3 linked regions of the Callithrix jacchus genome follow. The protein of the gene in region 3 binds, or shares a complex with, the protein of the main gene of each other region. Links are inferred from orthologs where the notes say so. Each region holds a gene or a part of one and is shown on either strand. Other genes may lie near its edges. The genes, in order: FCHSD2, AP2A2 and ITSN1.

Region 1 (10,060 bases), on a different chromosome or scaffold from region 3:
AGGTTACAGTGAGCAGAGATCGCACCACTGCATTCCAGCCTGAGGAACAGAGTGAAACTCTACCTCAAATTTAAAAACAACAAAAAAAACTCTACTACTAATTTTAAGACTAAAAAGGTATTTGCACTTTTCTGAGTGAATTCATACTAATTCAAATTGACCATAAAACTGGCAGGGGGCACTGGTGAGAAGGAGCACTCTATGTGGGATTTCAGGAAGGAGAATATAGGAGTCTAAAAAGAAGAAAAGCAAGCAAAATCTGTTACAACTTAATTCATATAAAAACCCAAGTTCAGGCCAGGCACGGTGGCTCACACCTGTAATCCTAGCACTTTGGGAGGCTGAAGGGGCGGACAGACCACTTGAGGTCAGAAGTTCGAAACCAGCCTGGCCAAAGTGGTGAAACCCCGTTTCTACTAAAAACACACAAAACATTAGCTGGGCATGGTGGCTCATGTCTGTACTCCCAGCTAGTAGGGAGACTGAGGCAGGTGAATTGTTTGAACTCAGGAGGCGGAGGTTGAAGTGAGCTGAGATTGCGCCACTGCACTCCAGCCTGGCTGACAGAGTAAGACTTTGTCTCAAAAACAAACAAAAAACACCTAAGTTCAGAGATTTTCAATGAATTTTTAAAAGATCATTTCATCTGCTAGGGCAGACAAGAGAAGCCAGATCACCTCCCTCCTCAGGCAACTGAAGTTATCATGAATACCAAGAGGAGGCAAGTTTCAACTTTTTCAATATCGTCACTGAAAAAAAAAAAAAAAGCAAATCAGAAACCTAAACTCATGTTTTAGCAGGTAATAAAGTATCCAATTCACAACTCAAAGTAAAAGGATTACTTCCTTTAATTTAATATAAACAGAACACAATGACTCCTTTAAAAAAAAAAAAAAACCTGTTAATCCTTGAGCACCAACAATCTCCACCTTTACATATTATATACTCTACAACAAACAGGATGTGTATTTAAAGTGCTCAAATGAACCAAAGTATATAACACAAGCTCTACAGAGGACCCTATAGCCCCCTACAGAGTTTGCACAGTATCTCACCTAAGAAAAAATAAGATACATTTAAATATAGCCAGTTACATTCATTTGACCGGCTAACCAAAGGGTATAAAGAAAATGAGCAATACTTGGCCCATAACCCCAAAGACTTCACATGAGGGAGGATGCCAGAGCATATGCAAAATCAAAATCCTTTGAGATCACAAAGAACAAGGAAATTGCAGTTACTGGTAACCAAGAATGTGCCAAGTGAAAAAGTGGGAGGAAGGTACCACCAGACAAAGACAACAGCACACACAAAACCATGAATGTAGAGTGCACAACTGGACAACCTGATCTCCCAAGTGACCAGAGCAGGCGGAAGAAAGAGGAAGGATGCATGGGCATGGAATGGTAGTAAATTAAGCCAGGAAAAGAAGCTTGCAGATGGGTTGCAGAGAACCATATATACTATAACAAGGTGTTCGGCCTCTATCCAGCAGGCCACAGAGGAATAATCTATAATAATGTTTTTTGTTTGTTCAAGACAGAGTCATGCTCTGTCACCCCAGCTAGAGTGCAGTGGTGGGAATCTCAGTTCACTGCAACCTCCACCTCCCAGCTTGAAGCAATTCTCCTACCTCAGCCTCCCAAGTAGTTGTGATTACAAGTACCCACCACTGTGCCCAGCTAATTCTTGTATTTTTAGTAGAGACAGGGTTTCACCATCTTGGCCAGGCTGGTCTCCAACTGCTAACCTTGTGATCCACCTGCCTCAGGCTCCCAAAGTGCTGGAAATACAGGCATGAGCCACCACACCTGGCCTACAGTTATGTTTTTAGGAAGCTAACTGGTAGCAATGTGGAAGACATATTTAAAAGGAGAGATGGGAGATGGAAGGCATAAGGACACTACTGCAATAATTAGGATACTACTATAATGCAAGCAAAATGTGATGGATCATCAATAATACAAACTAAGCAACAACAGCAGGAACAACAGACTTCATCAACTTAGCTTAGATGTGTGCCACATCTCACATGCATTGTCATTTATCTATACAACCTTGAGGAACAGAGCCCATATTGCCCCATTTTACAAATGAAGAAACTTAAGTTTACAAAGATTAATTCATTTTCCACAAGTCAGCACAGATATTAAGACACAAAGGACTCTCTGACTCCAATGTCCATATCCTTAACCATAAGCTCCTGCACCAAGCTACAAATAGGGAGAAAATGGAGACAAAATGCAATCAAGAAATCTTTAGAAGATACAATCAACAGGAATTATTATAACCATTGACTGCCCATACCCCACACAGGTTCTTCCCTTACACACTAATTCTGCCTTCCTGAACTGCTTCTGAAAATTTAATATTTTCTTCATCTAGAATTTTCTTACTTCCCTTAATATGTTAAAAAACCTTCCATTTTTAACCGTATCAAGAGTTTCAGATATCTCACAAAGGAATTTTTTTTTTTTCTTTTTTTGAGACAAGGTCTCACTTTGTTGCCCAGCCTGGAGTGCAGTGGCACCATCTCAGCTCATTGCAACTTCCTCCTCCTGGGTTCAAGCAATTCTCCTACCTCAGCCTGCAGTGTAGCTGGGACTACAGGCATGTATCACCAAGCCTGGCTAATTTTTGCATTTTTAGTATAGACAGGGGTTTCACTATGTTGGCCAGGCTGGTCTCGAACTCCTAACCTCAGGTGATCTGCCTGCCTCAGCTTCACAAAGGGCTGGGATTACAGGCGTGAGCCACTGTGCACAACCTCGATTAGGAATTTTGAAGTCTAAATATTTTTTATGGTCATAATAATGAGGGGGAAGACAAAGAATTGAAATTATAATTTTCAGTTTCAGGAAACAACAATCTTGATATATCCAGCTTGGATGAGTAGATTTACATGTCTTAGTCAGAAACCCTGAAGACAGGTATACTGCAAAAATGCTTATAGTGCCTTAGTTAAGTATAGGAGAGGAAAAAAGGAAATTCTTAAAACTAAAATCTTTGGGCTACGAACACCAATCCAAACACATAATTCTATCATAACACCATAGAGTTAATATTTTTCATGAAACCAACATGAAGTCAGTGTACCACCAGAAAAATAGGATGAGGCTTACACACCCAATTCCAATTTGATAAATGTATTACTAAGGGGAAATACAAATTGCAGCCACTCTTATTTCAACAAGGAAATCATCTTCCACCCTTGACGAAAATCTTTGAACCGTCAGTCTGCATTACAAAACTGTTAAATAGGTGGCATTTCTTTCATTAAAATAAGTCATCTGTCCCTCTGGTAAAAACAATACTGATTTTCATAATGTTAGCAAGATGTCTTAGCTATTCAAAGTCATCTTGACTATGAATGAGTAACCTCAATAATATAGTAAAATATGATAAACACACCTCTCACTAAATTTGGCACTCAAAGATAAAGTTGTATTTGTCATATTCTAACCCAAAGAGAGCATATAATCATCTGGGATTGACTGGCTCACCCCCAGATATTAACCATTAACCACAGGTGTTGGTTTAAAATCTAACTGGTTAAACTGTTAAGGTCAATAAAATGATTGTTACAACTCCCAGGAAAGATTATTTAAACAAAATCTTTAATTATTATAATTTGACTAATGAGACTTAATTTAAGGTCCTTGTTTTTTCCCCAATACCATGTATGCATTACAGGTTTCCCCACTGAAGGAAAAAGTTTGTATTGTGTTAGTTCCAGTTCTAATTTCCAGCTGAGTCAAAGTTCTAACAGACTTAAAGCAGGAAATCCAAAAGGAAATTCCATCATCAGTTCCTGGGGTTTGGTAACTCAAAGGTTCTTTGAAACAGAGAAATAGAAGTCCTTGAACTATTTACTATAACCTTACCTCATATCTTCAAGCAAATCACATTCTGCTTGATGTTTGGCTTGAAGTTTTGTCATCTGCTCAGCTTGAATGTTTTTCAGTTCTTGTGTAACTTTCACCTAAAATGTACCATATATTTATTAAGGTCTTTTTACACATTTAACCCAAAAAAATTGCTTAAGGAAAATACATCTGTCAGAATATATGTCTCTTGGTCGCCTCTCCCCTGAAGACCATAAATCCATTCATTATTCGCCATCTAGTTTTAGTTATTGAAGATACTTATTTAATGAAAAATTAAAGCCAAATAGCCTGAACAAAAGTTGAATGAAAATACACGACTATAAATATTACAAACTAAAGACGTGCAAAATAAACTGCCAGTCATTCCATTTCATGCACAAGCTCAGTCTATGTCTAGGTCTTCCTAGAGTTTTAAAAGAGCCTGTCTTCTATTTCAAAAAAAAAGGATTCAAAGACATTAACCACCAGGAGAGGTGAGCAGAGTGTGGATGGGGATTGGGAGCCTAAGAATGCCTAATATTTAATGACCAATATTTACACGATCATGATAATATGCATGAATCGACTACAAAAATAACTCCATAATGGCTGCGAAAAAGCACACTGTCTCAGAACGATGCCCTCGACTTGCAGACAGCGCATCAAATCACAATCTCTTTCTCACAAAGGAGAAAGCAAAAGTGACCTTCCAGCATTTGCAGTGCTTTTAAACTACCCCGGCAAGCCGGTCCCCGTGGAGGCTCCACTTCAAACAGCGAGAACAGCAAATGCCTGCTGGCCAGAGAGCCTCGCCCACCCGCCCTCCAGGCCGGAACCCCAGGGTTTGAAGTTATGGTCGGTCTGGAATCGCGGCCTTAGAAGCAGGACCACCAGGATGGGTGGGGGTACATATTGGAAAGAAAGACTCACTTAAATGGAGAAACCCGGATTAGGAAAGAGAGAAAGCAGCGACAGCAGACACGGGTGAGTTAGGCGTTAGGCAAATGTTTGCCCACGAGGGGAGGACAGAACGGCCTCATCCACCCAGTGCCCAGAGTAGATATTTAGTATCCATCTGTAGGATTAAAAAGACAAGGACACAGCCTCGGCCCCTGGGAAACCTGAGGAAGGGCACAATGGGGAGGCTGCTGACAAGCCGGGTGCACCCGTCACTCCCACCCTGGCCACCCAAGCTTGGATTGCAGTGCACACGCCACGCACCTCCAGGGCCGGGTCCTCGCTTTTCATTAGACAGCACGACAGCCTCCTCGCCCCTCAGCCGAGGGCGAGGCAGGACCCGTCAATCCTTAAATTTGTTTTCCCTTGGGTTGGGGAGGCGGTGACTATTCCAACTTCTTTTCGGCCGCCCCGTGGGAAAAGCAGGCCAAACCCTAAGGCTAGGCTAGAAACAAAACCCCCGCAAATTTGCAAATGGGCGGGGCTGGCGACAAGCGACTGGGGGGCTCAAAGCTGGTGCAGACTAAACAATCATACACGCACAAGGCTCTGCAAAGCTGCAGGGGCGTCCCCGCCTCCCCCACGGTGCAGCCCCAAGAATGCACTTTGCAGCGCACAGCATTGCCAAGCGCGCACACACAAACGCACACCCGAAACTCTTGTGAAATGTCTAGGGGTCTCCAGCGTAGAGGAGGGACTAGCCCCCACCGCCCCTCTGTCGGAAAGGACCTCACACGCCGGCCCTCCGCCTGGAGCCGAAGGCAAGTCGGTGACAAGCCCAAGGCGAGGGCGGTCACGGCCCCTTGCGGAAGGGCAAGGGGGCGCAGCGGTCGCCCCTGCCGCGTTCCCCATACGCATCCCCCACCTCGAACCCCAAAGCCCCCAAGCTGCGCCCTTACCTTCCTCGGCGGCGGCTGCATGATGCTGAAGGGACATCAACCCTCCCCGACGGCAGCGTTAGCAAGAACCTGGAGGAGGAGGGCCAGAGAGGAAGGGATAGCCCAGCGAGCGCGCGTGTGTGAAGAAGAGCCTAAGAAACAGGACTTGCCCCGGAGAGAGCAGGCCGGCGGGCGGCAGGAGGACCCCGGCCAGAGAGCGAGTGTGAGAAGAAGGGGGAGGAGCGCCGGGAAGGCCTGGGGCCCGGACTGCCCGGGGGTGTGTGAGTAAGGAGGCGGAGATGGCGAGGGGGCGGGGGCCCGGGAGCGGGGGCACGAGGGTCTCGGCCGGCCGGGTGGCGGGTGAGCCGCAGCCGCGTTGTCCGCGCTCCCGGTCCGCCACCGGCGCCGCAGCTCCGGGCGGACGCAGCGGCCCTCACCCCACCCACTCAGGCGGCCCGGCCCTCACTGGGCCTAACGCCCCCGCCCGCCGGGGAGGAGGAAGGTGGCGCCGCGCTCCCCGCTAGGGCTCCACCACTCTAGCCGCGGGAATTTCCGGCCTCGCCGCGCGGCGCAGCGCCCCGCTTCGGTGGCGAAGGGAACCGCTTCGTCCAGAGCGGGGTTCGAGGGGCAGGCCCGGGCTGCCGGGAGGGAGAGAAGACACGGCACGGGACTTCGTACCGCAGGGGGCATGGGGGGAACTAACGGATTGGTCGGTGGCTGGGAGGTGTAAAAACGCCAGCGCCACGCGAAAATCCCCCCTTTCTCTCTGAGAGTGGCACGTTCCAGACGCCTCCTGGCCTCCCTCCCCGACGCTGGGAGCCAGCCCGGGGCTTCCCGCGCGCTTTCCCGCCAGCTCGCCGCGGCGCGCGCCTCAGTTCGGGGGCGCGCATGTGGGCGGGAGAGAGCTCCGCGCCGACGCACGCGCACAGGCCACCCCCGTCTTCCGTCTGCCTCTGCGGCTGTAGTGTGTGTGTGTGTGTGTGTGTGTGTGTGTGTGTGTGTGTGTGTGTGTGTGTAAGGGGTGGGGGGCGACGCTCGCGGGTAAATGTTTGCAGTGGGGAGGGGGTTAGCATGCCTATGGGATACCAGAATTCCGGCTTTTGCTTCGTCTCAGTCCCTCAACACCCTCTCTCCCTACCAGCTAGATGTGCGCGAGGGGGGCGAGCGAGGACAAGTCGCTTTGCGGCTGGCCGCAGGTGCTAGGCCGTTGCGATTATAGGGCGGAAAGGCGCCCTGCAAAGGAAGCAGAGGCTCTCTACTGCAGGGCATTCAAGTCAAAGATCACGGACTTAGCTGAGAGGGAGTCGAGAGAACATTAAGGCCAAGGCCCCCATTTCACAGACGGGGAGGCAAGAGCCCTTAGAGGGAAGCCTTTCTGAAGGTCACACAGCAGGACTAGAATTTCCACGGCAGGAAGGTTCTATGGGTTATTTTAAAACAGAAACGTGCAAGATAATAAGCACGAGGAAAAGTAGAGGAGGCAGGAGGGGCCATAGAGGAAGCCCTTGTCTGGGAGTCAGGATCTCTGGGTGCCGGTTCACTTTGCCTACCCCTTAACAGGCTAGGCGAGCTCGGGCTCCCTTATCTGCCAGTGAGGGCCCCCTAAGAAGGCCCCACCACCACCACACACACCTTATCTAAGTAGGGCCCCCCACCACCACACACACCTTCCTGCTCTGTCCAGACCATCTACGAGGAGGGTTATCGGCCTCCCTTGGAGTCCTCAGAAGAGGATTACCTCTTCCCCATGCCCAGGGAGTTTTTTGAGTCCCGGGGCTGTGTGGAGACTGAGCTGGATTGCTTGACTGTTTTTTCAGAAGTTGAGCCCCCAGACAGCTGTTCTCAGAAGTGCAGTCCAGCCAAAGAGGAAGGCAATGAGGCCTAGAGAGACCCAAGTAACTTGCCAGATGACCACAAGGCCAGAAATTGAAAAGGTGGAACTTGAACCCAGGTTGTTTACAGTGAGTTAGGCTAGATTCTTGTACAGAAAAGTGATAGAGTCAGAGCTGTGTTTTGAGTCAGACTAATCTAGAGCTGTGTATGAACTAGGAGACTAGTCTTGCTATTTCTGCCTTCAAAGGTTAGCACTTCTACCTGAATTGAAACTTAGAATTGAAAAAAAGTATTAAAAAAAAAAAAGATAGCCCTTCACCAGAATCCTTAATTAAGTCAGGGAAGGCCTGGGGCAAGGGAACAGGTGGATGCAGACCCAAGGTCCTGATAGCTGTGGGGCAGCAGCTAGAGCCCAGGCCACAGGTAGCCTAGCCTGGGCTCTAGGCTCCACACCAATTTATTGTGAAGCCTTGTGCTAGTCAATTCACTTATTTCAGCCTTGTTTCCTCACTTGTAAAATGGAGGTATAATGCTGGCCTCAGGCTTGCTGTATGAAATAGAATTTCTCCAACCTCAGGGCCTGGCATGTAGTGCTTAATAAGTGCTTATTGATTCATCATTCATTCAAAAAATTCTTGCTAAGGAACTGCTTTGTTACCAGCCTGTGCAAGCACTGGGGTTCTAGAGCTAAGCAAGATAGAATCAGCTTTCACCAAGACTGAGGTCCAGACCAACACAGGGCTAGTGGACGAGAGGTAACAGTAGTTGGCCCAGATGCAGTGTCATGCACATAGTAGGTGCTTAACAAAGATTTGCTGAATCCTAGTCCTGGGTGCAACTGGTCTGGCCCAGAGATTGTCCTCCCTTCACCTCTCTTCTTAGGAATGATCACTGGAGTATAAAGGTGCTAGATGTTGGGAGACATGGGATCCAGCCTCTATCATGGATCTGGTGGGCCTTCTCTGGGCCTTGGTGCCCACCTGCAGAATAAGATGAGTGAGCCTAGAACTTAGGAGTCCCTTCACAAAAGAAGTCAGACCCTCGGGCTTTAGGAGATTTGCCATCATTCTGAAGCCAGGACTGGCACTGACTCTCTGGAATGATTTCCTTTGGAAGTGTTATAAAGAGCTAAGGGCAATACCAGATAGGCTTACCTACTAACTCCTACTTCAAAAATGTGATTTTTTAAAAACATTATTTGAATACTTACCAAGTGACTTTTCCAAACCCTAAACTTTCATATTACTTTTCCAATATAATCTTTACCCATGTGATAGTATTATTTTCTTCATTTTTACTGATGAAGTACTGGAGGCTCAGTGGAGATAAGTGACTTTCCCTAACATGATAGACTTGAGACCATAACCAAGTTGTCCGATGAGGAATTTTCCTGTATAAAGAACGTTCAAAGGAATTGGGAGAGTTCCTAACCCAGGAAAACAAGCAGACTTGGGAAGATAGAATCCATTATGTTCCAGAATCCAGAGGACAGGGGAAAGGATTTCTGTGACTTATGTGAGCCTGACTTAAAATGTACCATTTTGAATAGGGCTGGGGCCTTCCAGAGCCTGGCTCCTGCAATGCAGGCAAGCACTGTATTGCCAGTAAGATCACTTGAGATTCTTTGGGGAAATGGTGCAGAGCGGCATGCACTATGGCCCCAGAGACAAAACTGGGACAGGACTTAGCTGCATCTCAGGAAGGAGCTTTTCCAGGCAGAGCTGCCCCTGGAGGGAGTGAGCTCCCTGTCCCTGGGGCTGTGCAAGCAGGTTCTGGCTCCCTTCCATCAAAGAGGCCACAGATGGAATCTCACTCTGAAAAGAAATTAATAACAGCTGTCCTTTATTTTGCCGCTTCCATTTTCCAGACATTAAAATAGGCATGTTATTTACATTGTTTCCAACCTTCACAACTCCTCATAATACATATAACCCCATTTCACAGGCTACAGCTCAGAAGTGAAATGACCTACCCAAGGGCACACAGCTAGTGAAGGAAAGCGAGGCCTGGCCCCTGGTTCTGAAGCTGTGCTCTCCCTCCAGCATGCTGCAGTGCAGTCTCCCACTTGACAAGGAATATGATTCTAAGGTTAAGTCAGAGCTAGGATCAACAATTGGCCTGGAGCAGGTATATGAACGGATATCAGAAGATCAGCTATTCTGATATTCCAGAGCTCCTGGGAAAACCTGCAGGGAGACAAAGTATACAGCAGCCGTTACCATGGCCAGAATATGAGTAGCACACTACACCCAGTCCAGAGCACACACCCAAGACAGTTTGACTCCATCAAAGGTTCTCTCCAGAGAAAGTGGCTGCCAGTCCCCCTGCCCACACTCTACCAAGGCATCCCTGACCCTTCCTGCAGCTGGGGTCCACAGCCCTCTCTACTCTGTCTTCCTCTCTGTCATTATCCCCCACCTGCATTGGCACCAGCTGTTCAGGAATGCTTGTCAGCATGTCTGGATGCCAGCTATTCCCTGCCTGAGCCCCACCAAGCCCAGCTGGTGATGCATCAGCAGACAGTGC
Region 2 (9,960 bases), on a different chromosome or scaffold from region 3:
TCCCTAGTGCTTGTGCTGGGACAGTAACGGGCTGCCTGGTGCTTTGGGGAGGACCCCTTGTGCCCTGGGGTCTGAATCTGTTCTCAGTGAGCCAGAATAGCATGGAGGGAGGACTTGGGTGCTGGGCCTGGTGGCCTCATCCAGACTGTGGTTCAGTGACTGCCAGGACCACTTTCCAAAAAGGAGAATGGAAAAGGACTTCTTCAGCTGCTTTTTTCTGCGGTCTCACTTCTGGGTTGTAAAGATTTAAATCAGTCTAAAGGTGGTGTCTCCTGCTGCAGTGAACTTGGAATGATTAGATCAGAGGCACGAGTGCAGGCGACAGTGGAGGCCAGGCCAGGAGAGGGCAGCACGTGTGCAGCCCCAGGCTTGACCTGCGTGGCCGAGCGCCGCCCTCTGGCTCTTCACACTGGTGGGATCTGGGCTGAGCATAACTGAGTTTCCCAGCTTTTAAGGAGAGGCTGGCAAAGAAAACCTACGCTGTCGGTCTCTCCAAGTAGGCCAAAGTGGCCGTGGGCTGCTGGCATGTTGCTGGTAGGCTTCAGGTTTTGTTTGGAAGATGAGTTAACACGAGCGTGTAGCTTCCAGTGTTTTGACTGTTGTGTGTGTGCGTTTTCTTTCAGGGTGTGGTGACTGCAGCCACGAGTCTGATCACCACTTTAGCACAGAAGAACCCAGAGGAGTTTAAAACCTCCGTGTCTCTGGCCGTCTCTAGGCTAAGCAGAGTAAGTCTGTCTGGGGGAGCATAAGTGAGGGTGGGTTTTGTCTCATTCATTTATTAGCTTACTTTTAGAATACAAGGCATGGGGTCTGTTTGTAAATTCGGGGTGAAAACCCACTTGGCTTCTCTTTCAACCTTCTTCTTAATTCAGAGCTGTTCCGTCTGTGCGGAGCCCAGTTCCCTGTTCCTGTCGTGTGAGCGAGCACCCAGTACCACTCGGGAGGAGGGGTGGCACCCAGGGCCCGTGTCCCCCGCGGGCAGGCGCTGCTGGCTCTGCCTTGGGACCCACCGGCTGGCGTGTGCGCTGACGCCTGCTGTTGAGCTGTGTGTTTGGGTTTTTTGTAGGTGGACCTGCAGCGCACATTCTTGTTTTGTTCAACGTTGTGAAGTGTTTGTTTTGTGTGCAGCGGTTACACGTTCATTTCTGATGCTGCATAGAATCGGTTGTGTGAACTGACCCCTGCAGTTGACCTCTGTCCTGTTGAACACTTAGCTCCTTGTCCTCTGGGGCTACTGTGTCCCCTCTAGCGTGAGCAGTCTTGGCTGTCCCTTGGTTTCCATGCACACGAGATGCTGTGGGCGTCTGTTGAGATGTGGTGTGGCTCAGTTAGGGGCTGCAGCTCCTGAACCTGAGGAGACAGGTGGTGCCAGACCAGCCTCCCGTGTGGTCTGCCTGGCCTTCCCAGCAGTAGGAGGCGTGGGCACAGCACGTGCTAGTGTTAGCCCCTTGGGATTTTTGTTTTGTTTTGTTTTCTTGACATAGAGTTTCGCTCTGATGCCCAGGCTAGAGTGCAGTGGTGCAGTCTCGGCCTCCCGGGTTCAAGAGATTCTTCCGCCTCAGCCTCTTGAGTAGCTGGGATTATAGGCTGCAGCATCACGCCCGGCTGATTTTTGTATTTTTAGTAGAGATGAGGTTTCACCATGTTGGCCAGGCTGGCCTCAAAGTCCTGACCTCAGGCAGTCCGCCTGTCTTGGCCTCCCAACTGCTAGGATTGCAGGTGTCACCATCGCAGTCTGCTTCCTTGTGATTTAAATCTGCCTTTTCCTGATTATCAGTGAGGTTGAGGACCTTTGCATGTTGATTGGCTGTTTGGGTATCTTGTTTTGTGCCGGGCCTGAGACTCTTACCCATTTTTGCCCTGGGTCGTCTTGTCTTTGTGAGTGTGACGTCTGCTCTAGAATGTTGTGTTGCTGGCACGCTTGATCACGTCAGAGAAGTTCCTTTCTCTGTTTGCCAAAGTTTCTATCATTAGCTGGTAAAACCGTTTGAATCTGGAGTTTTCTTTGTGGGAAACTTTCTGATTATGAATTCAGTTTACTTTATAAGTGGAGAAATGTGCATATTTTCTTCCTCTTTTTCTCTTTCTTTGAGTCAGTGTCTTGCTCATTACCCAGCCTGGAGTGCAGTATCATAATCTTGTCTCACTGCAATCTCCACCTGGGTTCAAGTGATTCTCCTGCCTCAGCCTCCCAAATAGATGGGATTACAGGCGCCCCCCCGCCCCCCACCGTGTCTAGCTAATTTTTGTATTTTTAGTAGAGACAAGGTTTCGCCATGTTGGCCAGGCTGGGTCTTGAACTCCTGACCTCAGGTGATCTGCCTGCCTCAGCCTCCCAAAGTGCTGGGATGACAGGCGTGAGCCACCGCTCCCAGCCTCCTTTCCTTTGGGTTGAGATGAATTTTTGTTGCCTTTCTCTTTATATTTGTTTCAAATATGTACATTTAAGGCTATACGTTTTTCTGTGAGCCTGGCTTTAGCTGCATACGTGTTTGAGGGACGGCTCCCACTGGCTGTGTCTCTGTCACGTAAGTGCTGTGATTCTTGCCTTTTCTGCTTTGCATTTGTGCCTTTCAGCCCTCTCTTTGACAGGAAGCCTAGAGCTCACCTCCCTGCAGCAGGTGTCTGTGACCCCCGTCTGGAATGGTGTATTTCAGCTTAGGGCAGGAGTCAGGGTGAACTTTTCTGGATAGGTTCACCTAAAGCCTAAAAGTGTCTCACATGTGAGCTTTGTAGGAAGGGAGGAACTACCCTGACCTCCTGGAAGCAGGAGTCACCGGGCTGTCAGTGGAAATGGATGGACGTTGTAGTGATAGTCGTTTGTTCAAGAGGTTGATGGAGGATCTGCCAAGCCAAGGGCCACGTTGGACAGAGAGATGGGATGTGAGTGAGGCGGGCAGATGCCTCCTCGAGCTCAGCGCCTGGGCGGCCTGTGGGGGACCAGGGGCTGTGGGGTTGGGTCAGGGTGCCAGCTTCTTGGGGGTATACTTCTTCCTTCTGAGATGCCTTGCGTGCTCTCTCTCTTGAGTTTTCTTTTTTTTTTTTTTTGAGATAGAATGTCAGTCCGTCGCCAGGCTCCAGGCTGGAGTGCAATGGCACAATCTCAGCTCACTGCAACCTCCGCCTCCTGGGTTCAAGCAGTTCTCCTGCCTCAGCCTCCTGAGTAGCTGGGACTACAGGCGTGCACCACCACATCCAGCTAATTTTTGTATTTTTAGTAGAGACGAGGTTTCACCATGTTGGCCAGGATGGTCTCCATCTCTTGACCTGGTGATCCACCCACCTCGGCCTCCCAAAGAGCTGGGATTACAGGCGTGAGCCACCGCACCGGCCCAAGTTTCATTCATGTTCCAGTGCACAAAGGAAAGACTGGAGATTCAAATCCACGTGCTGTGGTATCTTGTACTGAGTTCGGGCTGCCATTCAGCTGTGCGGCGTGTGTGCCGCCTCTCACAGTGACCCCGAGGGGTCCCAAGCAGTGTCAGACGCTCCTGGCGTGTGAAACAAAACCGTTTTTCCAGCTCAGGCCTGACTGGAGGAGTGAATGTGGCTTTTCCTTGGGTTCCCGCAGTGGGGACTCGTGCTGGGCGTCGTGTCTCATTGCCTGTGCTCTTACAGATCGTGACGTCCGCGTCAACAGATCTTCAGGATTACACTTACTATTTTGTCCCGGCTCCCTGGCTGTCTGTCAAACTGCTGAGGCTGCTGCAGTGCTACCCACCCCCAGGTAATGCGCGGGCGGAGGCTCCTGAAGCTGCACCAGCTGATTCCCTATCTCAGATTCAAGTGGCTTGTTGATGACTTTAAGAAGTGTGTTACCGACCCCGCCTCCTGATTCGTGGGCCTTGCTGCTGGTGCTGCCGTGCGCCCTGGCTTTCATGGAGTTACTGCAGAGCCTATACTTTTGTTAGGGCTTGCGTCTGTTTGTGCTTTGATAGTATCAGATCTGTGCAGTAGGTTTTCTTTCTTTTTGAGATGGAGTGTCCCTCTCTTGCCCAGGCTGGCGTGATCTCAGTTCACTGCAACCTTTGCCTCCAGGGTTCAAGTGATTCTACCACCTCAGCCTCCTGAGTAGCTGAGATCACAGGCACCTGCCATCATGCCTGGCTAATTTTTGCATTTTTGTAGAGATGGGGTTTCACCATGTTGGCCAGGCTGGTCTTGAACTCCTGACCTCAGGTGATCTGGCCACCTCAGCCTCCCAAAGTGCTGGGATTACAGGTGTGAGCCACCGTGCCCGGCCTTTTTCAGTTTTGTAAATGCTCCTAGCTGGGGACACAAATGTGAGTGAATATTAAAAATGCTCTCACAATACGTGGGTGCAGTGGGAGGGTGGGGTGGGGTGGGCTACGGGCCACGGGAGCCTGGTGAGCACCGTTCTGTCTTGCCCAGAAGACCCCGCAGTTCGAGGCCGCCTGACGGAGTGCCTGGAGACCATCCTGAACAAAGCCCAGGAACCGCCCAAGTCGAAGAAGGTGCAGCACTCCAACGCCAAGAACGCCGTGCTCTTCGAGGCCATCAGCTTAATCATTCACCACGACAGGTGGGTCGGCCGTCTGCGGAGGCGCCTTCACCTTGTGCACGCGCACATGCTCCTTCTCACTGGCACGAGACTGGGCGGATCACGCCTAGTTTATGCGGTCCACAGGCCTCTTCTTCATCCTGCCCGTGTGCTCCCTGCCTGACTCCTTTCTTCTTTCTCTGCAGCCAGCCCCTCCTGCTCTGAGCTCACTGTGGATTGCTTAGCTGACCATGGTCTCATCCCCGACAGGGGCCTTCTCCTCCTTCCCCGAGCATCCCCACTCCTGATGGGCCTCTCGTGTGATGGAGCAGAGAGGAGACGGGGAGGGCGGGAGGTGTGCGCAGACGTGTCCTGTGGCTTTGCTGGGCGTGAAGCTGCACTTGGTGGGTCCAGGGTGCTAGGGCAGTGCTGGAGACTTGCTTTAGGGTCCTGTGAGAATGAGATGGCAGCTCCCAGCAGGCTCCTGATCACCAGGGAACATGCCAGGCTGTGGGCAGAGGCTCTCTACAGCTAGTGGGCACCACCCATCGGCTATTGTAGCCTTTTTACAAATGTAGTTTCCCATGATGAAAACGCAGTCCGAGAGTCATGCTTCAGAATTGGGAGCTGCTAAAACTGAAATTTCCCGTTTTAGAGAAAGCTCTGTTGTTACATGAGGAGAAGCCACATCCTGAGGAGACAGTAGGGTCGGGGTGGCAGCCACGCTCCCCACCTCCTCAACCTTCTCTCTGCCCTGGGCTGGTGCCTCTGGCTGACAGGCCATTGGGGGTCACAGCTTGACTGGCCTCCCGCAGGCCTGACACAGATTGAGGCGCAGGAGATGCTGGGAAGCCTCCGGCAGACACACGGGCTGTGACTCTCACTGTGGGGAGGCACAGAATGGACGCAACACAGATGTCAGGGGTAGGGGTCAAGCGTCTACATTCAGGGAGGCCCCTGGATTCCCACCTGAGCAGCATGGTGGCGGGGAGTGTGGTGTGACTTTGCTGTCTGCCATCTGGACCCGTCAGGGAATGTGGGTTCTGTCCAGTTTGTGTTGTGTGTGTTGAGGAAACTCCCCCCACTTCCTCTCCCTCCACACAGTGAGCCGAACCTGCTCGTCCGCGCCTGCAACCAGCTGGGCCAGTTCCTGCAGCACCGGGAAACCAACCTGCGCTACCTGGCCCTGGAGAGCATGTGCACGCTGGCCAGCTCTGAGTTCTCCCACGAGGCCGTCAAGACGCACATCGAGACAGTCATCAATGCCCTGAAGGCGAGTCCCTGTCCTCGGGGTCTGCTCACTCCCTGCGCAGGTGCCATGGGTCTTCCCCTGAAGGCTGGGGGACGCACTGCTTCCTGGCTCCCCGCAGAGATGGACGTGGTGTTGGTGCTGCTGGCCTCCGCCTGGCACCTGCTGTCAGGCGGGCGCACCACTGTTCAGGGCCGTGCTGCCTCCTGGCTAGGCTGAGTGTGGCATCCACGGCAGCCCTCTCCCTGCCATGGGCAGGCCCCCTTGTGCCGTCCTGCACGTGCACAGTCCTGACAAGTAGAAATGGTTCTTCTTGGTAGAAGGATTAAGTTTTTTTACCTTACCTCCAAGAAAACCCCCCTTTTGCAAAGGAAACTCACTTTTTTCGAGGATTAAAATTTCAGAGTTGGAAGAGCCCAGTTGAGGTTGTCTGTTGTCAGCCTTTGTGAGTCTCCAGAGCAGCCCCTGAGGGTTTGCGCCATGTGAGGTCGCCTGAGGTGTGTCCACCACATTCCCTGTCTGAGCCAGCCTTGGGCTGTGGCTGGGCTGCTCCCACTGCCCCTGTGTGTCTGCGTGTGGCTCATGGGTGTCCCGGCTGGCATACAAGGGCTTGTGGTGGCATTTGGTCTTCTGGATTCTTCTTGGTCTTGGACGGTGTGTGTTTTACTCACTCCCTGCTGTCAGAAAGGCTGACACTCATTTGCACACGGCCAGCATTAGGGCTGCTGGTGGCCACTCCCCTGTCCTTTGCTGGTAGCAGAGCTGTGCAGGCCTCAGGCTTTCTCATGCTGTAGAGCCTCTGGGGGGCTCATCAGCTCAGGCTCTGGGGTGGGATATGAGAACCTGGGACAGCTCCATGGCAGTGCCAGAGGCAGTGGGGTCTTCGGCCACACGGAGGAGAGGCCTTGATGGCCCGCACCAGGCTGTGTGCTCCGTCCTAATGTAGCTGGCTTGTGCGGAGGGAGGAGGCAACGAGGGCACTGGGCTCGATTCTGGGCTGTCCAGACCCACGTGCCCCAGTGCAGGGAGTGGGAGGGGCCGGTGCGTTGGGGAGGGAGGACTGTGCATGGCTGGAGCCCATTGCCTGGACCTGGATGTGTGTGTGAGAGAAGCTCAGAGTGGGCATTGAGACGCGGTGCTGGGCCTGTCCCCCAGCTGGTCCCCAAGCCTGGGCCTTGCTCCTGTGGCCTCTTACTCTGTGCCTTGTTCCCCAGACCGAGCGGGACGTGAGCGTGCGGCAGCGGGCCGTGGACCTCCTCTACGCTATGTGCGACCGCAGCAATGCCCCACAGATCGTGGCCGAGATGCTGAGCTATCTGGAGACGGCCGACTACTCCATTCGAGAAGAGATTGTGAGTTCTGCTGGCCTCTGAGTCCTCTCCTGCCGCAGACGCGAATCTCACTGCAGGATTTCCTTAGTGCTCTGCGATTCTGTCCGGCAGGGCTTGGCTGAGAACCCGTGAGATGCTGGATACAAGGCTCCTCTGCCTCTGTTTTAGTTCACACTTTCAAGCTGGGCGTGGTCCCAGCTTACAGAGGCTGAGGCGGGAGGATCACCTGAGGCCAGGAGGTTGAGGCTGCAGTGAGCTGAGATCATGTCATTGCACTCCAGGCTGGGCAGCACGGCGAGACCCTGTCTTAAAAAAGTTAGCATTTTTGGTGGAGTCATTTGGTCTGGAAGGTAACTAAAATGCTGCCCTGTGCGGCTTCTCTGGCCTGCCTGTCCTTTTGGTGGTGGCACTGCAGCCCCGGGTCTTAGTGAGGCTGCACCGACTGTGCTGGGCTGCACAAATCTAGACTTCTCTGGGCAGAATTCTTCTTAACTGTGTTGCATTCGAGCCCCTGAATTAACCCTTCGTGGCTTGGCTTTTGTGTGTGTGTCTCTTGATCTTTGGAGGGGTGTGATCTAGGCCATAGCTTTGTTTCCCGCATTGTTTTTATCACAAAGTAGGTGTGCACGCCTGCCAGATGGCGGAAGGCTGAGCATGACTGAAAACCTGAGGGCAGAAACCCTTGTGGAGGCCACATGGTCAGCAGAGCAGAGGGCCTGAGGCCTCTCCCATGCTCACAGGCCTCTCAGGCTCACTGTGTCTGTGGATGGTGGGGTTTAAGGGGGGGCCCGTGTGTCCTTGTGGGAGGCTGGCGGCTGTCGCCAGCCGGGACCACAGCCTCTGGTTGAGGCTGAGACACCGCCTCTGTTGTATAGGAAGTGCTTTGTTATTTGTCTTTTTGGGCAAAGTGCAGCTTGAGGCCTCCTTGGGAGCTTTGCCAAGAGCCAGGGTTGGAGTTGGTGGCAGGTGACAGGGTTGCCCTGGGCAGCTGTGTGTGGTCATGCCCAGGTGAGACTCTGAGGTTTTCAGGGATCTTTGAGTGAACGGAGGGGCTGGGTGCTGAGGGTGAAATGACCACAGACTGAGCTTCAGTGAGGCGCTGCACCTACAGAGAGCAGGGGCCAGGAGGCGGCTCTCCCGCTGGACTGCCCACCTCCAGGACAGTGGGCCTGGGAGGGTGAGGGGGATGGGACGGGTGGGCTGACTCCCAAGGGCAGGGCCCATGGGGTGGGTTTGGTGTAGGGCAGGGCTGAGTGGGTCCTGTTTGTGGAGTGGCCAGGCAGGTACTTGTTGACTATGGCCAGGGGTCCCTCTCTGGCCTGGCTGGGGCAGTGTGTCCTGGTCTTGGCACCTGTGGTGGTGTCGGGCTGGCTCTGGGGACGGCTGTCACAGGAGCCTCATTCCTGATCCTCCTGAGTGTTCTGAGCAGACAGAAGCAGTGTGCGTCTGAGTGCTGTTGTGCAGATTTTGAGGTCCCGGGCATTCGTCAGCCCGGTGTCTGCTCTCGCCCTTCTATGCAATGAGCGGCAATCCTGAGCCGGCTCCTGCTGTGGGGAGTAAAACAAGTGTGATGAGTGACCTCAGCTGCTCCTGCCATGAGGAGTAAGACAGGTGTGATGAGTGGTGACCTCACGGCTCCTGCTGTGCGGAGTCAGACAGGTGCTGCGTCTTGGCCCGAGTGGTGCTCCCCACACCCCATTCCTTCAGCCAGGCATGGCAGAGTGTGTTCTCTGTGGCTGTGCCAGGTGCTGGGTGTCCACACCGGACCTGGCCCACTCCTCCTCCTCTGCACCTTCCCATCCGTGGAGGGGCATGGATTAAGAGCAGGGCCGAGGGTCGCTGTGCCGTAGGTGGGATGGCTGGAGGAAGTGCCCCATGGTCCGGGGCTTCAGGGGGCATTACACTCTGGGGGCGCTGTGTGGACTTCTGCAGGAGGTGGGAGGGGCCTGATCTGGAGAGGATGATGCTGCAGGGGCCACTGGGAGGGCAGAGCAGCAGTTTATGGAGGGGTGGTGGGTGGCTCAGCACAGGGTAGGGAGCAGGGCATGTGAGACGGGTAGACGGGTAGGTGGGGACCCTGCCAGTGAGGTGTGAGGGCCCTGTGCACAGCCCCGGGCTGAGGCAGGGCTCAGAGGCAATGCATTTTGGAATGATGCTCTGGAAGTATCATGGAGTTTTTCGGGGTCCAGGCTCCAGGGAGGGACTCTGGGGAGGCACAATCATCAGCATTTGAGAGGCCAGCAGCAGGGCATGGGGAGGGGCGGCAGGGCGTGGGAGGGGGCGTCAGGGCATTTGGGGGGTGTCCTCGGGAGGTGTGTGGTCTTGACGCCTGCCAGCATTGGTGTTGGCAGCTGGTGCTGTTGGAAGGGGCTTGGTGCAAGGCGAGATGACTTTGGGAAGATGAATTTGGTGTTGGACAGCCTGGCAGAGTTCCATGCGTGTGGCTGCCACGTGGGTGTGGGCTGGGCAGGCGCCTCCAGGTGCCTGGGGGGTAAAGGAGTGGTGGGTCTCCCGTGAGAGTGAACCAGAGAGGGGAAGAAGGGGTACCCCCAGGTGAGACTTGCAGGAAAGATTGGCTGGAGCAGGAGGAAACCATCAGAGAAGTGGCTGCCAGGACCCCAGGGTGGCACGGTCAGAGGGCGCTGCGGCCAGGTGCTGGGGCTTCGGGAGAGGAGGGCCCAGGCGGGAGATGGCCTGGCTGCGGTCGTGGCTGCCTGTGCGCTGGGCTCTGCCTTTTCCTGGGATTCAGGCTGGGAATGTTAAACTTTCTGGGCTCGTGGCCTTTTTTTGAGAATTTAGTGCAAGCTCCTTGTGTGTCCCAAACTTCTGTAGACACATAGGGGCTTCTGAAACCCTCACTTTGACGTTGGGTGATAGTT
Region 3 (9,960 bases):
TAGCCCCCCAGGTAGCATGTGCTACCAAGCCTGACTAATTTTTTGTATTTTTTTTTTTGTGTGTGTGTGTGTGGAGCTGGGGTCTCGCCATGTTGCTCAGGCTGGTCTTAAACTCCTGGGCTCAAGGGATCCACCTGCCTTGGCCTCCCAAAATGCCAAGATGCTGGAATTACAGGCATGAGCCACTGCACACAGCAGTTTCTTTTTTCTGTTTGAAACATGTAGCATTCTTTGAGGTAAACGGAGCATCTCACGTTTCCCCTGGCTTCCCAGGTGGCAGAAAGCAATAGAAAGCGATTTCGGAGTTAATAGGACCACCCAGCCCCAAACCCTTCCTCACCTGGGCTCACTTAAATAGGGCTTCTGGAACCTAGGGCTGTGGGTATTTTGCTTCAATCTGTCTTCAAGACTCTGCCCTGGAGCCAAATGAAACAGATCATTTTCTGAAGGGTGAACTTGACACAAGGCCAGCATCATTCCAAAGAGCATTTGCACCAAGCAAGAAAATTGGCTAAAGCTTTTGTGCATATGGTTCTCAGAAAAAATGAAGGAGAAAACAGCAGCCACAAATGTCTCCCTCCGGGGCATTCTGCTCTTTCATGTGAAGTGGTTCCCAATCTGGGAAGTGGCTTTTGTTCTTCCTTTGGGTGATTTCATAAACAAGATCCTTCTGGCCTGGGTTAGGCAAATATGTGCTGGCCTTTAGTAAGGAAGGAAGAGGAGTTGTGTCCTGATGTGGCCTCCAAGACGGCATCTATCACATATTTTCTTCCCCTGGAACATGAATTCAGGTCTTGAGGTCATCCATGGAAATGGCCCTCATGCCTTTACTATTGACGGCAGGAGTAAGTATTAGCATCACGTGACATAAAATCAGATTCTCTTTCCCAAGCCTTTGTTGTTAAAATCAAATGAACAAAGAAAACAGAGTCCTGGCAACAGTGTTTGAACAGACCTGAAGCCCTTTTCCTGAGTTTCTGTTTGGCAACTTTCTGTCTTTTTCTGTCCAAGGACTGCCTGGGTGCAGAAAATCAAAGCTGCTTCTGAACTCTACATAGAGACTGAGAAAAAGAAGCGCGAGAAAGCGTACCTGGGTAATGCATGGCCCTGTGGGGTGTCCCACACAGCTGGGCAGGAGGGAGGGCCATTTGGCTGGGCTGAGAATCCTCCAAATAGAAGATTCCCCTGGACCTAGAGGAGGGGCGTGAGATGGGATGAAAGAGAGCTTGGGGTGAGATGCGAACGGGGGATGGAGGGCAAATGCCAGGAGCAAGGAAGCCAGAGTTTAAGGAGAGGAGGGGAGAATTACTTTTGAGTAGGGAGAGGTCCATGACATGAATCGTGAGGCTCGCAGACATGGGAAAGGCATTGTATGTTCAAATGAAGCGTTTTGCGTTTTTCCTGCCATCATAGTCCGTTCCCAGAGGGCAACAGGCATTGGAAGGTTGATGGTGAACGTGGTCGAAGGCATTGAGCTGAAACCCTGTCGGTCACATGGTAAGGCTCTGAGGTGGTCCAGGCTCCTGCTTTAGGGTTGGAAGCTGGGTCTGCGTTCCCCACACCCCCACCCAGCTCCAAATTGAATGTGCTATTTCCATACTCCCCATCTCCTTCCCGAATTGGTTTAACTAGCACTTGTTAAAAACCTGGAGGTTTTTTGTTTTTTAAAATCCTTCCTACCGTTCTGTTTCTCCAAGGGATCTGAGTGGCGGCATTCACAGTGGCTGTGACACAGAATAAGGCCAAAGTGAGGAGACAGGAAGGGCCTAGTTTCAAAGCCCACTCAAGTAATTAATTATTTGAGCTTAGTTTAAGGATGAACCTGACTTCTGGGGGTTTTCACCTGGAGTCTCCATTGAAATCCAGGTGAAATATCTGCCACTTATTAAGCGTGGTAGTTATTAAGAGGGGTGCTGGCTGGGCGTGGTGGCTCACACCTGTAATCCCAGCACTTAGGAAGGCCAAGGCAGGCAGATCACCTGAGGCCAGGAGTTCAAGACCAGCCTGGCGAACATGGCAAAACTCTGTCTCTACTAAAAAGAAAAAGAAAACTTAGCCGGGCGTGGTGGCAGGCATCTACAATGCTAGCTATTCAGGAGGATGAGGCAGGAGAATCACTTGAGCCCAGGAGGTGGAGGCTGTGGTGAGCTGAGATCGTACCACTGCACTCCAGCCTGGGCGACAGATCAAGACTCCATCTAAAAAAAAAGAAAAAAAAGAGTGGGGATCAAAATGAGGTGTGATTTCCACCTGGTAAAGGCTTTTGTTCCCTCCAGGGAAGAGCAACCCATACTGCGAGGTGACCATGGGTTCCCAATGCCACATCACTAAGACAATCCAGGACACTCTAAACCCCAAGTGGAACTCCAACTGCCAGTTTTTCATCCGAGACCTGGAGCAGGAAGTCCTCTGCATCACTGTGTTTGAGAGGGACCAGTTTTCACCAGATGGTGAGTAGAATGCGGCCCTGAGGTGATTCCTTCTTCCCTGGTGCTAGTTTGTGTGGGTTCATGTTTTCTTACCTGGGGACTTGGTGCCAGGATTCCTGGGGTTTCCCTCCCAAGAGATGAGGCTGGCTGGCACAAGACGAGGCTCCGTCTCCCCTGGAGGTGTCTTCTGGAGGCGTTTCATCACATGTGGACAGAGCATGCTTGGTCTAGAACTGTGCCAGCTGCCCTGGGCAAACACTACCATCTTCTGCTTTCTAAAGCAAGTGACTCTGGAGACGGGTGTATTTAAGAGCCTCAGCATAGTTCTTCAGTCCTTGGCAAAAAAGCTGTGCTGGCAATGTTTGAAACTGGCTAATGGAACAAGAATGTTAGCCCACAGCAGTAGCCTCAGAATCGGCCAGGTCCCTTTGGGTGGCATTTCTGTGGCAGTTAAGTAGGCAAACGGATGCAGTCGTGTTGGATGAATCATTTCTTCAACCAGCCTTCTCTTTCTGCTTGGGCTGGGAAAAGAATAGTCTTGGCCCCATGATTCCAAGAAACTACCTGTCTCTCCCTCAACCCAATAAAAATCACCACTGGGCATGGTGGTACAGGCCTGGAATCCCAACACTTTGGGAGACTGAGGCAGGAGGATCGCTTGAGCCCAGGAGTCTAAGACCAGCCTGGGCAACATAATGGGACCTTGTCTCTACAAAAAATACAAAACTTAGCCAGGCATGGCGGCATGCACTTGTAGATCCAGCTACTTGGGAGGCTGAGGCAGGAGGATCGCTTGAGCCTGGGAGGTCGAGGCTGCAGTGAGCATCAGTGCAGCTGTAGTGGCAGTAGTGCAGTGATGCCACTACACTCCAGCCCAGGTGACAAAGCAAGACCCTGTTGCTGGAGTCTGTCTCACAGACCCCAGCTGCACGATGGATGAATACATGCACTCAGACACAAATTTCCAGTGAATGAATGGGCCAAGGGGTTGTGAGCCACTCACAGAGAGAGATCACAGCTACACGGTGCTGAGTAGTTCACCCTCTTCCTATTTATTTGGTATAGATTTAGTAACAGGGGCTTTAAGTCACCCCACTCGGCTGGGGGGTGAGTTGGAAATCCTAGGTTTACGTCAGAGCCCAGAGAAGAAGGGAGGTTGTGGCAGTTCATCAGGAGGTCCCAATATGACAGACACATGCCTTGAAGAGGGGGAACGGTCCCTCTTAGCTGCGTCTGTTTGTTCTCTTTTCAGATTTTTTGGGCCGGACGGAGATCCGCGTGGCGGACATCAAGAAAGACCAGGGCTCCAAGGGTCCCGTTACGAAGTGTCTTCTGCTGCACGAAGTCCCCACGGGAGAGATTGTGGTCCGCTTGGACCTGCAGTTGTTCGATGAACCATAGGTAGCGGGCTCGATGTGCTCAGCAGGGTCCCAGCCCACGGCAGCACATACTGTCTGAAAATAGTGTTCCTTTTCTAAGAAACCACCATCTGGTGTTCAGTCACAGGGATATGGGACGGCAAAGACAGGACCCTCAAAGCTCCTAGGAATAATTCTCGACAATCCTCCCTGCCCCAAAATAATTTCCTGTTTTATGAAACTCAGCTGTGTTTTCCTTTGTCCTCACTCCAGATCTCATTATGGCTTCTAGGGTCGCTGAAATCCCATAGGTCTCAAAAGAGTGCAGTTGGGAATCTAGCCCCTTCCCAGGCTTGAGGGATGGTCTGGTTACTATAAAATAGATTTATAAATGCAATGTCTATATTTTTGGAGAACTCACATAACCCTCCTATTTCTTACATCCACCAGTCCCCAAGTAGACTTCTTGGCCTACGATGCCCAGTCCTTGGTGTGCGTTTAGAAACTGATGACGGTCCTGTCATTGCTTCAGAATCCCATCTCTCCCACTGGGAAATGCTGCCTGGAGCTGATCACTCGGTGAGGCGGTCTGATCAGGCCCTGGCTTAGCTCTTTCAAGAGCTGGTCTATGGAAGTTTCCAGTATGTGCGCCATTATAGCCGTTCCTTCCCCTCTAGACCTTGTATTAATATATGTCAATGAAAACACACCGGTGCATTGTTGCGTGGATTTAGTTCTGATTGCCAGCATGCTTGGAATATGGTCACAGAAAGTCATTATCTAGAAAGTCACCCTGTGCTGGATCAGGTCACTGCAGGTCACCAGAAAGGCAACTTGACAACTGTCTCGGTCGGCAGCCATGTTGGAAAAAATCCCTTTTGGCTTGGAGGTCCTGTGATATTTCATGCAGCAGGAGTTCTGTGCGTGAATGTGCTGAATCCTGACTGTGGTGGGAAATTTCAACAGCTGTCTTTGGTACGTTCCCCAGAAGCCATGTCCTAGATCCCCAAGGCGTGAAAAGGGAAAATGTCAAGCTAGAGGTTGGGGAAGAAAATGATGGCAATCCATTATGTGGTGGGGGAAAGACCCTAGGAGCATGCAAGCCCCACACATCCTGGGACGAAGACCTAAGACACTTTCCCACCCTCCACCCCATCCACCCCAGCCTCGCAGCAATGTGCTTGTTGCGAGAGGCAGGAGTGTATGACCATGTGCCAAGCTGTTTGGTTTGAGTTGTTTAATTTTTTTTTCCCTTAAATGCCAGGAGATAGTCTGGTTAGTTAGATAGTGACTTGATTTGCTAATGAAAGGTGGGGGCCGTATCTTGTTTGCATGTTCATGTTCTCATAACCCTAGTTTGTTGTGGTCATGAAATGTTCTTTGCATGTTCTGTAGGTACTGGAGTCTAGCTTTCCTGCAGTAGACGGTCTTCTCTTTGATTGTCGGTCCTTAGACTTTAAATAGGGTTGTAAAAGTGCTTTCCAAGTGATAGCATCAGCTTCGTGGCAGAGTACCCCCTCTGCTGGGAACTGAATGTGTAGTGTTATAATTTCCCATGACAGCCCGGTCATATTTCAAGCAATGTTTTAAAAGTGTGTGTTGGAAAGGACAACAAAGTTTACATTTCATACTTTAAAGAAATCCTTATTATTTATTTATTGAAGATAGCGTAGAATTTTGTATCAAGAACAACAGACATACGTATTTTTTGAAACAAGCAGATATACCCTTTAGTTAGAAACTTCCAACTGAACATATTAGAGACCAAATTAAACTTCAGGCATGCATTTGTTTACCATTTCCCAGCAGAAAACATGGTTAAGATACTTTGTTTATATTTTTTGATGTTGTTAAGAAACTTTTAAATCTATAAACAGACATGCAACTCATGCTTTCCTATCTCTCTAACCAATACAGTTTGTTCAGTGTATTTATGAAAGACATGTTACCATGACAGAAAAAAAAAGTATGTGTAAATGGGGCAGTGTGGGTCTCCATTCCAATCTCTTCTTGTTTTCTGTTCGGTCTTTTCTTCATTGACTTTATTTGCGTGTTAGTGTTGGTCATCATTGTTCGTGTAGGTAGCGTGTGGTATGCACAATGACAAACAATCCTTTTAGGTCCCAGGTCACCCACTCCTAGTATCCTATTATTGGAATTAATGTAGCATGAGAAAGCATTATGTGACTCTTTTTCCTCAAGTGACTCTGTTGAGCATTGTTGAGAAGCTCCTGCTGTGCAGCAAGTTCTGGATCCGTGTCCTTGTATTTACTGGTGTTCTTTGTCATGTGACCAGTCGTGCTTATGGATGAGTCTGGCTGGCCCTCGGATCCAGCTGTGATTCATGACATGCGGTTGAGTTGTGTCAAGGGGATTGAGGAACATGGGTGATGCATGGAGTCTCAAACCCTCGGGTCCCACTGTTCCTTCACCTCTACCTTCTTGATCATCTGGGCTATATTTCCTAGAAATTAAATGCCCCTTGCCAACAAGGAGTCTGTCTCCTAGCTCTGTTTTCTAGATATAGGAGTTCTCTAGGCCACTGCATCCTGGCATCCTGATTCCAGCCTTTTAAACACCCTTTAAGTGCCCCTCTGCTGTGAACTACACTGCTAGCTCCTCCCGCGGACGCTGATTTCCTTCAGCCCACAAAGGGGCTGTCCTGGTCATAGGGTTACCCAGCGACCCTCAGTCATCCCCGAGAACTGAACTACCCCGGGACCTTTTGGGCTGAGCCTTCTTCAGCAGCTCTCTAGAAGGGAGAGTTCACATCCCAGTCCCTCTGGGGCAGGGCCTCTGGCTGCTGGCATCATCCTGGCAGGTAGAGGGACAGCATCGTCTCCTGGAACCAGGTTCACTGTGATCATTACAGCCTGAAGATGTGGTTCATTCAGATCCAGGCCTGGCCTAATGTGGAAAGAGGGACCTTTCTAGGTGCAGGTCACCAGGAATGCTTGAGAAACTAGAGCCAGATTTCCTTGTTTGTTTGGTTAACATGTCCCTGTCCTCTGACAGCAGAGGAAAAAACTCTGTGCCCAAAGAACATTCATGTAAGAGAAGGCATTTTTTTTTCTTCTTTGCTCTTTAAACAACCTAAAGTATGGCCTAAGTGTATGAAAGTAACTGATTTCATCTAGAGCAGACCTGAATTTAACTGGGGAAAAGAAATCCCATCAGAAAATGAGTAAACTGACCACCCACATTGTGTCTTATCTCGGTGACCTTGTCCTCCATGGGTGTATTCTGGGGTGGCAGAGGAGTCAGGTGCTAGCACCAGCAGGGAAGGACAAATGCAGGTCTGCCTTCCAAGGCTGAGCAGGCCGGCTGTCTCTCCAGCAGCTGGCTAGGACAAGTGTAAGGCCACTGACCACACAGAACGAGGATGTTCTAGAATCCGATGCGGCTGAAGATAAAGGGAAAAATGGACAAGGCACTTCTGACTTTACTGGAAAGGAGGGGCTCCTGGAGTATATTTTGGAAAAGGCCAGTACTTTGTTTAGGCAGAAAAAGACTTCTCTATCTCCTACAAGTTGTTTTTTTTCTAGTTGATTGGGCCTTTTTGATAGATAAGAAGAAATTGTGTTTTGTATGTGTGAAGACTTTAAGAATTTCTGTTGGAAACATAAAATATGATTTGATCTGATTTGGTTTGATTTGATTGCTAAGTTCTCCGCTCCTCTTCAAGGTTAGTGATGTGCTTCATAGGAGACACTAGCACTTTTACATGAACATCTGGTGTCCTTCGGATATAACAGGGTCCTTTTGGGCTTGAGGTGAGTGTGCAATTAGCAATGGGTCTGCTTGGTCCAGATAGCTTGTTTGCAAGTTTAGAGCATCCTATGCTGGAAGGTGGGATGAAAACAAATGCACCTGGATGGCTTTGTCTTGTTTCTAGATAGAAGAGCTTAAGCTCACACCAGGCAGAAGCATGACCTGTAGCCCTAGAAACCAGTGGCGTGACGAGTCCTCAGATAGTGTAGTCTGAGCCACCAGAAGAGGCATCAGGGAAAACTAACACCTCCTTCTCTTTGCACCCTAGGGTGCTGAAATGCCTGCTAGAGACTTTCCAGGAATGGCCCACGGGCTGCTTAGTGTCTAGTTACGATGTTCATTCCCTCTTTTTCCTTGGAGTGGCCCAGTGAGACCAAATGCTTGTGTTTTTCTTTGTTTCCAGTTCATTCGTTCAAATGACACAGAAGACGAATCCACTTCTGGGAAGGCGGAGCTCAGATGAGGATTGATGGGCAGCCTTTGTTCTGGGCAGATCTCAGGGGCAGAAACAGGCTTGTATTAAGTATAAGTGGCAGGTGCTTTCCTAGAACAGCCCTAACCTGCACTGGTGAGGTAGGGTCAGGAATTGCCACACAGGAACCAAAACATGGATCTAGTGGCCTCCTGCACACAGACCCTCCGTTCCTTTTAAGGATGTTCAATGTTTGATAAAATAGGGCCATTTTCTTTTCTTTCTTTTATCCCCAGCTACAGTGTAATTGCCTACCTGCCTGGGCCCCTTCTATAGGAAGGTGGGCTTTCCTTGTCCATCAGGCTGCACTCAGGAGGTGATACTGTAAAGCAGCAGAAAAACTGAGGGTGCAAAGAACGCACAGCTGCCCCTCAGGGGGCAGCTCCCTCAAGCTCTTCTGCCCAGTAATGTTACAAGCTTAAGAGGAGCCTGATTAGAGCCATCCTGGGGACCAAGGAATGTATTCCCTGCAACTTCTTCCTTCTAGGGGCCCCTCAGGTCAGCCCATTCCAGGAGAAGCAGCCTTAGGCCCGTTTGCAGTTCGCACCCCCTGCCACTCCCATGTGCCTGCCAGCCTGGTCTCCGATAAAGACATGGCTCAGTCCCTGCTCTCCTTGTTACAGTGGCTTGTACTTCCTGTGAAGTAGCCCAGGGCCCGCCTTCTAGAGGGAATATTTCCCTCAAGCCCTTGGATATTTTTATTCTATTTTGAATGGTCCCGATCGATAACCATTGCTTTGTGCGGGGTTCTTCAAAGAAATAATGCAGACCAGCCAGGCATGGAGGCTCACGCCTGTAATCCCAACACTTTGGAAGGCCAAAGCAGGTGGATTAACTGAGGTCAGGAGTTCGAGACCAGCCTGGCCAACGTGGCAAAACACCATCTCTATTAAAAATAGAAAAATTAGCTGGGCATGGTGACAGGCACCTGTAATCCCAGCTACTCCCGCTGATGCAGGAGAATTGCTCGAACTCAGGAGGCGGAGGTGGCAGTGAGCTGAGATGGTGCCACTACACTCCAGCCTGAGTGACAGAGAGAGACTCCTTCTCAAAAAAAAAAAAAAAGAACGAATGCAGACCTCTTCTTGCTGGATCTGACTCCGAGGAAGTAATTGGCTGGTCAACTTAATAACACCCTACAGCTTCCTCTTTCTGAGTAAGGATCTTGCTTCTTGGTACTTGGAAAGCAGTTGTTTATTTGAGCTAGAGGAAAGGAAAGTTCTAGAACTCCTGTTTCCTCACCCTGCGCTGTATCAGATCCAGGATATGTCTGCAGGTCATCAAGATCCACTAAGATACATAACTTCATATCAGCAGCAGCCAGAGGAAAAAAATCAGTTCCTGATGGGCGTGGGAGCTTAGTCCACATGAAAGAAAACATGTAACAGCTGTCTGTCTTGGGAGCCTTAAAACCCAGACACCAGCACACTAGACAATCCATCTCTGGGTTGTGATCGCTCAGAAACATCTTAATAGTTAATGTACTGTTCATTTAGGGAGTCCCCATCCTGGTCCAGGACACCTTCCAAGAAGCTGAGAGCCAGCTCGGATGGGCCTGCCTTAGTGGCATTCCAAGCTTAATTGCATTGGGTTGGTGCAAAAGTAATTGCGATTTTTGCCATTGCTCTTAATGGCAAACTAACTTGAAGTCATTAAAATAACACCCAACGCTTATTTTAAAAATTTCACATCGACCTTCCAGTAACTTCTTTAGTTCGGTGCAGCCTCAGTCAGTTCCTCCATTCAAAGGAACCCCCTTTACCCTAGCCCTGGGGGAGCCAGATTATAACCACATAATGATGTTTTTGACACTATGTGTGCTTGTCATATTTCAGGGTCAGTTTCCCCTACTGGATGTCAGGGGTGTTTTGTGAGTCGTGAGTTAATAGGATTCTGTTCTATTTTCTGTGCCAGCCTATATTGTTAGTAT

Evidence for each region.
Region 1: the proteins of ITSN1 (region 3) and FCHSD2 are in contact, whole or in part, in a crystal structure (PDB 6GBU), measured with the Homo sapiens proteins. The link is inferred for Callithrix jacchus from reciprocal best matches to the Homo sapiens genes ITSN1 and FCHSD2. Residues at the interface, in NP_003015.2 of Homo sapiens: Pro1076, Ile1078, Gly1098, Leu1100, Leu1102, Gln1117, Ala1118, Arg1119, Gly1120, Lys1121, Lys1122, Arg1123, Leu1136, Ser1137, Pro1138; in NP_055639.2 of Homo sapiens: Tyr576, Gln581, Thr582, Asp584, Glu585, Gln602, Asp603, Asp604, Asp605, Gly606, Phe607, Val618, Pro620, Val622, Leu623.
Region 2: the proteins of ITSN1 (region 3) and AP2A2 are in contact, whole or in part, in a crystal structure (PDB 3HS8), measured with the Mus musculus proteins. The link is inferred for Callithrix jacchus from reciprocal best matches to the Homo sapiens genes ITSN1 and AP2A2. Residues at the interface, in NP_034717.2 of Mus musculus: Asn841, Trp843, Ala844, Phe846, Ser847, Ser848; in XP_006536218.1 of Mus musculus: Glu308, Gly320, Val321, Glu324, Gln329, Gly331, Leu332, Lys333, Phe346, Gly348, Asn349, Lys350, Gly386, Ala387, Gln388.

What each region holds. Positions count from the first base shown.
Region 1 is NC_133511.1:67,815,035-67,825,094, reverse strand, and holds the start of FCHSD2 (F-BAR and double SH3 domains protein 2), read right to left. Parts: upstream 5,248-10,060; 5' UTR 5,115-5,247; coding exon 5,088-5,114; exon of another isoform or gene 4,585-5,087; intron 3,983-4,584; coding exon 3,885-3,982; intron 1-3,884. Other genes in the region: uncharacterized protein LOC118145596, read left to right, coding at 5,298-5,978. UniProt on the Homo sapiens protein: Adapter protein that plays a role in endocytosis via clathrin-coated pits. Contributes to the internalization of cell surface receptors, such as integrin ITGB1 and transferrin receptor.
Region 2 is NC_133511.1:130,932,409-130,942,368, reverse strand, and holds part of AP2A2 (AP-2 complex subunit alpha-2), read left to right. Parts: intron 1-623; coding exon 624-725; intron 726-3,618; coding exon 3,619-3,727; intron 3,728-4,392; coding exon 4,393-4,543; intron 4,544-5,605; coding exon 5,606-5,774; intron 5,775-6,964; coding exon 6,965-7,102; intron 7,103-9,960. UniProt on the Homo sapiens protein: Component of the adaptor protein complex 2 (AP-2). Adaptor protein complexes function in protein transport via transport vesicles in different membrane traffic pathways.
Region 3 is NC_133522.1:39,958,699-39,968,658, forward strand, and holds the end of ITSN1 (intersectin-1), read left to right. Parts: intron 1-1,011; coding exon 1,012-1,094; intron 1,095-1,413; coding exon 1,414-1,497; intron 1,498-2,276; coding exon 2,277-2,450; intron 2,451-3,681; coding exon 3,682-3,830; 3' UTR 3,831-8,934; downstream 8,935-9,960. UniProt on the Homo sapiens protein: Adapter protein that provides a link between the endocytic membrane traffic and the actin assembly machinery. Acts as a guanine nucleotide exchange factor (GEF) for CDC42, and thereby stimulates actin nucleation mediated by WASL and the ARP2/3 complex.